2 linked regions of the Nothobranchius furzeri genome follow. The protein of the gene in region 1 purifies or fractionates together with the protein of each later gene. This does not show direct contact. Links are inferred from orthologs where the notes say so. Each region holds a gene or a part of one and is shown on either strand. Other genes may lie near its edges.

Evidence for each region. Proteins that work in one complex are often made in the same cells at the same time.
Region 2: the proteins of rnf13 (region 1) and ap3d1 purify together in Homo sapiens (affinity purification with mass spectrometry; 3 studies listed by BioGRID and IntAct, counting the BioPlex papers as one, with this or other methods). This does not show direct contact. The link is inferred for Nothobranchius furzeri from reciprocal best matches to the Homo sapiens genes RNF13 and AP3D1.

What each region holds. Positions count from the first base shown.
Region 1 is NC_091748.1:61,627,293-61,631,607, reverse strand, and holds the start of rnf13 (E3 ubiquitin-protein ligase RNF13), read right to left. Parts: upstream 2,850-4,315; 5' UTR 2,652-2,849; intron 1,127-2,651; 5' UTR 1,014-1,126; coding exon 900-1,013; intron 659-899; coding exon 578-658; intron 1-577. UniProt on the Homo sapiens protein: E3 ubiquitin-protein ligase that regulates cell proliferation. Involved in apoptosis regulation. Mediates ER stress-induced activation of JNK signaling pathway and apoptosis by promoting ERN1 activation and splicing of XBP1 mRNA.
Region 2 is NC_091748.1:55,669,293-55,672,943, forward strand, and holds part of ap3d1 (AP-3 complex subunit delta-1), read right to left. Parts: intron 3,252-3,651; coding exon 3,171-3,251; intron 3,046-3,170; coding exon 2,965-3,045; intron 2,874-2,964; coding exon 2,766-2,873; intron 2,608-2,765; coding exon 2,478-2,607; intron 620-2,477; coding exon 480-619; intron 371-479; coding exon 297-370; intron 188-296; coding exon 138-187; intron 1-137. UniProt on the Homo sapiens protein: Part of the AP-3 complex, an adaptor-related complex which is not clathrin-associated. The complex is associated with the Golgi region as well as more peripheral structures.

The DNA.
Region 1 (4,315 bases):
TGACTCAGAATCACACACGTCCTCATGTGACTGTAACAACATGGTGGTAGATGATGTAAGGAAGTAATGATGTTAAAATGACACCCTTGAAATTCAACAAACAATAATTGTCCAAACACACAGAACTAAACCTCCTCATGAGCACCTAAACATTCTGCTATCAGCTTGACTCTGAGTAAAGAGCCTTTGTGCAGCAACAACAAGCTCTCGACTGTGGGAAGCACCACAATGGCCGGCTTAGATGGCAGACATGAATCATCCTCTCTGTTTGTGAGCTTTGTGCATTGGCTTTTAAGAGCGGTGCTATGTGTGGCAAGCAGAAACTTCACAACAACAAAAACAACAACACAGGGTACTGACACAGCCAACCACACTTCAGGTATATGAATGAATTCAACTTTATAAAAAGCTTTTTTATACGATTTTTTTTGGGGGGGGGGGGGGGGATCAGGAATTTTATGACAGGAAATCAAAAAACTTTCTTGCCTCCCTAATGTACGTCGATGTGGCTAAACCTTGGTTCATAGGAGCTGTAAAGTAAAAAAAAAAAAATACCACCTGACACATTTGCACTCACCTTCAATCCATCACTTGGCAAGCGGTAGCCAAATCGTGCAGGCATGTCGTCAAAGTTCTCAGTTCTGTTGTCAAATGAATACTGAAACACAGGAAGATACGATCAGCTGTGACGCTCGCTCGGATGCATTAACACTCACAACTGTTAACAGTCCAAATGCGAAACACACAACAGTACTTTCAGATTGTTTTGTAAACAAAGCAAGCCGGCTGTTACAGAAGCCCATCACTTCATGAGAGGAGGTTTGACCATCTGTAGGACTGGAACTGCAGAAGTGTATGCATGCATGTCTATTTATGCACCACTGTGACGGTTCACTCACAGCAGCGATATCGGCCTCCACAGGCAGCAGGTTGAGGAAGGCGAAAAGCTGAACGGTGAAGATGGTGTAAATCTGCGTGGCAGATAGCATCAACATTCCCAGAGACAGCAGCATCTTGGCATCACGTTACAAACCTCTGCTTCTGTAGTGCTCGCACACTCTCACACAAATATCCACTCAGACTGTCTCGTAGCAGGGATCCTATATGCCGGCTGATGCTGTTACACCTAGAAAATACAGATGATTTGTTTGCATAAGAACTTTTTGGTTTTGCATTATTGCTGCAAAGAAATTTAAATTAGATTTGAAATCAAAAACTTATATTATGGAAACATTTTTTAAAAATTAGTGATGCACTGATATGAAATTTTTGGGCTGATACCGATATTAAGATCACCGTTATGGCCGATAACCGATATTTGCCGATACCGATATACTGACATTAATGCTTCTAAAATCAGCAGATTTAGTTTAGAAAGAAGATTATTAAAGCTGAATTTACATTATTATGTACACACACCACACACATTTAAGCTTCTGAGATGATTACAATCACTGTCGCATGACTAAACAAATACACACCACCCCCCTCACCCTCTGAAACAGGCAGACAAATGGAGATGAGACAGAAAAAAATAACGGTTGTTAATATCGGCCCGGTTTTATTCATCGAACCGATACCGACGTGTTAAGAAATTACTAATATCGGCCGATACCGATATTGATGCCGATATATTGTCCATCCCTAAAAAAAATAGGTCAAACTTTCAAATACATATGTGTGTAATTTACAAACAGTTGCATATTTTTATTCTTACACTTAAAATTATTCATTTAACTTACTCATCATATTAATAATAACAATAACAATAATGCATTTTATTTATAAGCGCCTTTCAAGGAACACAAGGACACTTTACAACAATAAACAACAAAGAAACTAAGTTAAAAACAGCCCAAAAATCCATAGAAACCTTAAATTATAAACTAGATAATAAAATCAATGTGGTTTGAAAAGGTGTCACAAGCAGTAGGCAGTCTGAAATAGGTGGGGTTTTAGTCTAGCATATTAAATGTAAACATTTACTGAAGGATTTTATCAGGACACAATTTACTTTTAACTTTTTGACCTGTTACTATTTTCAGTGTATTTAAATATACTACTCAATGTATTACATTTGATATAATTTTTTAAGTCTTTTTCAGAACACAGAAACCCTATTTTAGTCTGATTGTCACGAGTAACGATGTGTTATAACTTATTTTATTTATTTATAAATAATCAACACCTTAGTGTTAATTTACTTTTAAAGAAGGACAAAATATGTTTCTGGACAGTCGGAAATACCACGGTATTTAACAGAGGTTAAGAGGTCACAACAAATGGGAACAAGTGATCAGATGATGTCTAAACATCAAGTGACAGTGGTCGCCTTTTCTGAGATAACTCTCTAAGATGATAACAACATGTCTATAGGACAAATAAAGAGAAGATGATAAGTTACAAAACCATGTAACAAGAAATAATAACATTAGTAAACTACCGTTGAACTCTCCCAAACGCGAAAATAAAAACTAAACATTTTACACACGAAGACTGGTTGCAATGATGCTGAGCATTTTCGTGATTTAGCCGTTAATGTTTAGATGAATATACGCAAATACCCTAAAATGTACAACCGAAACAGAACCCAGTCCGTTAGCATGAGACTAGCATTAGCAAACGAAGCTAAACTGTTTCTGGGTGTTTACCTTTAATTCTGCTCGGAGCCTTGTTGTTTGCGTGGAATAAGCAGCTGTCAGCGACATTGCCCTCGTTTACTGCGCGTCATATAAGACAAAACACACCACCTCAAACTACGTGTCTGTAGTTAATTTCATTTAAACAGTTGGTCACAAAATACGATCATAAACGCAACTGCTTAATCCCCACTGCTAGCTATTTTCTTTTCATGTGTGAGAAAATTAACTTCCGCCCCGTGTCACATCAATTTAAGAGCTCTGATTGGATGAGCTTCCTGTCAATCATTTTATTCCGGAAATGACTCTAAACATAAACAGATCCACGTGATATGGAAAAACTCATTTGCTTCAGTTTACAGTCGCAGTCCGAGCTTTAACTGCTCGTTAGCTGCCTACCGGAACATTTAATAGACAGTTATTTTTAAAAAGTTACATTAAAAGTCTATCTAACACGTGTTGTCATCGAGAGATGAGTGAAAGAAGAAAGACAAAATCATGACCAGTCAATTTTTAAGTCTTTCGCACCATCTATAGAAAACAGATTGCAATCTTCAATGACGTTTTGAATCTCTGTGTTTAGTTTCAGTCTACATAATTTTAGAAAAGGAACTTTTATGATAAATATAAATATACAATAAGATTTATACTGGAAAACTGATGCAAAATTAATTGTCAGTAAAAAATGTGTTATAGGGTGTCTTTCACAGATACGTACATCACAAATCAGGACAAAACATTGTAAACAAGGAGGATCACCGACCTCAAAATACTGTAAACAAGGAAAATGTACAAGAATAGAAAGTGGAAATTTGTAAACAAAATCAGAATCATTATAAACTAGGAAGATGTATCAACATAAAAAATAGTAAAGATGAAGGTATAAACATAGTCAAAATTATCTGCACAAATAAATGAGGAAGGCACATAGAAGAGGTAGGTTCTTAAATGTTTTTTTGAACCTCCACACTTAAAAAGATAGTTTGAGAGGCAAGCTGTTCCACAGTCTGGTAACCAGAACGTGAAGCAGTGTTAGACTCCACCCTGTTTCTTCTGAAGTCTAAAATCATCTTTGTTTTGTTCACGTTCAAGGTCAGATGATTGTTTCCACACCATGCCACAAAGCGCTCCACCAGCTCTCTGTATTCAGCTTCCTGTCCATCTCTGATACATCCGACAACTGCAGAGTCATCTGAGTATTTCTGTAGATGACAGGTCTCTGATTTGTACTGGAAGGCTGAGGTGTACAGGGTGAAAAGGAATGGGGAGAGTACAGTCCCCTGTGGTGCTCCAATGTTACTGATCGCCTGGTTTGATGTGCAGTTCTTCAGCCTCACAAACTGTGGTCTGTTTGTCAGGTAGTCTTTAATCCAGGCGATAGTTGAGGTCCCCACCTGTATCTTCTGGAGTTTCTGGCAAAGTACATCAAGCTGGATTGTGTTAAATGCACTGGAGAAATCAAAGAACATGACCCTCACAATGCTGCCCGCTATTATCACTGTCATTAAATTGAAGTTGGACAGATGACTTGAATATCACTTGAACATTCAAAGTTAAAGACTTGGACTTGACTTTGACTTCCACATCATTGACTTTAAACTCAACTTGGACTTGGTTGTATTTTCACTTGGACTTGACTCGAGACTTGACTGGAAAGACTTGTGACTTACTTGTGA
Region 2 (3,651 bases), about 6.0 Mb from region 1:
AAGATGATGTAGAATTTGAGAGAAAAACAAATAAATCCTTTTCTAATCTATAGAAAACTGACTATTTCTATGAATCTTTAAGAAGCCAGTTAACGTTCAGATCGAATTTCTACCATGTAGCAGAAATTAAAACTAACCTGCAATTACAGTGTTGACACATTCATACAGCAGAGACATGGCAGAAGTGCTGTGAGAAAGGAAAACCGGGTACAAAACAAAGAAAATAGAAATTATTATTAGTTTATTCATTCCATGAGACAATCTATCAAAAAATCTAATGGAGTATTTCAGCTCACCTGTGGATCAGGTTAGTCAAAGGTTCGATAAGCTTCTTCCCCAACCTTGGCTCCAGAGGAGTGAGTGCACCAAACTGTAAAAACAGAGACGTGATCCTTTTGGAAAACCTGACTACATATTATTACTACTTTGAAATTATGAAGTGTTTTTTTTTTCCACTTTCAAATAACCTGCTGACTTACCAGCTTGATGATCTTAATGAGAACCCAATTATTAGTAGAGGAAGTCATAAGTTTGAAGAAAAGTGGGGCCAGAGACAGGTAGTTCTTAGGATTTCTCCTAGCCAGCTCACAGATAACATTTACAGCTGCTGACTGGACACCTAAGAACGAAAAAGAACAAACGCTTTTTAGGGAAGGGTTTCCATTTTAAAAAACAAACCATTTAAACACATAAACATAAAATCTATGTGAAACGGCATAAAAACAAAATGCACATCTTATGTAATAGTTGCTAATTGATCAAAACAGGTCAATAGAAATATTCTTGTTTTTAAAGGTGTGGAAAACTCATTTAATCAATACATTTGCAGGAGTCTAGTAGGAATGAATGTTTTGTAAATTGCACTGGGGGGTGTATACTGGTGAACCGTTTATCTCCAAATAACACAAGCCTGAAGGAGCTTCTGCCATGTGTTGACGTTGCTAATGCTAACGGTTAGGTTCTACTAGCTTTTAGGTCCGCTTCTTTTTAATCTATATATTTTACCTTTGGCAGCTATTTTCAGAAAATTCGGGGTGAATAATCATCTCTATGCTGACGACTGCCAACTGTATGTGGCTCTTAAAGCGGCTGACCCTGTGCAACCACTGACTGACTGCCTGAATGAAATCAAGTCATGGCTTTCTGCCAATTTCCTCCATCTGAACAGCTCCAAACTGGAGGCTTTTTTTTTTTTTTTTTGCCCCCTGCTCCCCCTCTGCTGTGGAGCCATCTCTGCCTCATTCTTTGTCAGTTTTTCTGAAGTCGGCAATTAAAAGTTTGGGGGTCATACTGGACGCCAATTTTAAAATGGATACACAGATAAACCAGATGGTCAGGTCGTGTTTCTTTCATTTTCGCCGGCTGACTAAATTAAAATCGGTCCTTAACAAGAGAGATCTCCACACAGTTGTTCATGCTTTTGTAACTTCACGTTTGGACTATGCTAACTCTCTGTTATATGGGGTTCCATCCTCTTTTCAATGGTACGCCTCCCAATCGGTACAGAATGCTGCAGCGAGGTTTCTAACAAACACAGACCGATGGCAACACATCTCACCTGTTTTAGCAAATTTGCACTGGCTTCCTGTTCAGTTTCGGATTAAGTTTAAAATTCTACTGCTGGTGTATAAATCTTTGCATGAAATGGCACCCTTTTATTTGGCGCAGCTTTTAAGCCCCTATGTTCCGGTGCGAACCTTGAGGTCCTCTGACCAGCACCTTCTGCTCGTCCCTCCAGCTCGCGATAGGGCACGTGGCGAACGGGCTTTTTCAGTTTGTGCCCCTAAGCTTTGGAAACAATTCCCCCTGACGGTCCGACTTGCCTTCCAACTTTTAAAGTACATCTGAAGACATATTTTTATTACCTGGCTTACCCAGCTGAGATTGTTTTACCCTTAAGTTTGTCTGTTATTTTACTTTTTTACTTATTTTTATCTAATGACGCCGCTGTTTTCTAGTTTGGTGATCTGTAACTTAAGTTTTTAAGTGTTTTTATCTATTTTACGCTGCTGTCTTCTAGTTTGGTGTCCTATCGTCTTGTACAGCACTTCGATTGGCGTAGTCGCTGTTTAAACGTGCTTTATAAATAAAGGATGATGATGATGTTCTCTGTTGTTTCCTGGATGCTAAACCAACAACAGCCTTCTCCGTCACAAGTCAAGATGGGTGAGTCCATGAATGCTAATCTACAGTGTGACGTAGATCTGTCTGGATTTTCTAATCCAAGAGATTCACCATCTATTTTCCATCAGAAGCTAATGCAGGATGTTGTACATTTCTCTTGCCAAGCTAGATACTCATAAGGGAATTCCTTTCAGTTTAAAACAACAACAAAACAGCATTGCAGTATCACAGCCGCCATATATCATTTTCTCTTGCTGAATACTTTATGGGATTTAGAAGACAGAAAATAAAACTCACAAAAAAGCTTCTGCAGTTTCAGATTTGCCTCAAATGACAAAAACACTGTAACACACCTGGATCTGGATCCTCCAGTTTCTCTTTGAGCCTTGGAAAAGCAGGGCGCAGGGATTCTGGGTACTTCAAAAACACCTTATACATGATAAGCACAGCTTTCTTCCTAATGTAAGGTTTAGTGTGGGACATCTAAAGTGGAAAACAAAAACAGCCAAAATAAGAACCAGTTGTGTTCCAAATGCAAAAATGTTCACATTTCATCTGTGAGCCTAGAAAAGAATTGAAGACCATGGAGGAAAAGAAAAACTGGTTATGTGGATAAACTCGACATTTCCTGCATGACTCACCAGTGTCATGATGTCATTAGCAAGATCTCGAGCCAGATCAGGAGTCACAAAACAAGAGAGCCCAGTCAGAGCAACACCTGTATCATACTGGTTGGGACTACTGAGATCCTAAGAGAAAAATGGAAAAGTCAATAAATAAAAGTAGGACAAAAAGGTAGAAAGGTATTCATAGGCTGCACCAAACAAGTGCATCACCGACCTTTCGGATTTGATTGGTCGTCAGCATGATGACATCAGTGCTCTCATGGAAGCACTGTGAGGCTGCTAAGTAACCGATCCTCTGCAAGAAGAAAACCCGAGCAGGAAAGACAAATGCACTTTGTTATAAAATAACAGAAACATTATCATCGGTCTGCAGCAGCTGGTTTTCATTAACACGATCAGCTGGTGCACGGGCAGTTATACCTTGTATGTGAACTTCGAGGAGCTCATGACTTCAACAATGTTGAACGCTGCCCAGCTGACATCATAGCCCAGCATCTGAAGCTGTAACACAAACGAGCCACACTGTAAATAATGTCAAAAACACTGAGAAACTAACAGATGTTAGCTGGAAGCTCAATAACTGAATGTAGATTTTAAAAACCTCTTTATAACCAGCAGAAACTTCACCACAAACACTTCATTTGACAGTGTTTCTTTGTCAGACTCAACTGTGTTGTTTCAAGAATTAGCACTTTTATTCTTCATTACAAGTGACTAATTTGCTCCAATGTTCACCAAGTTACAGGGTTTGTTTTCTTGGTAAAACTTCTATAAAATAAAATGCGCAACGCAACTCTATCCAATTTGAGTCAGAAAAAGTCTTAGTGCATCAATAGTGTATGTCTAACAGAAAGCACAGATAAATGTTCTACTCCTTTCAGGATGAGGACGGCCATTTTTA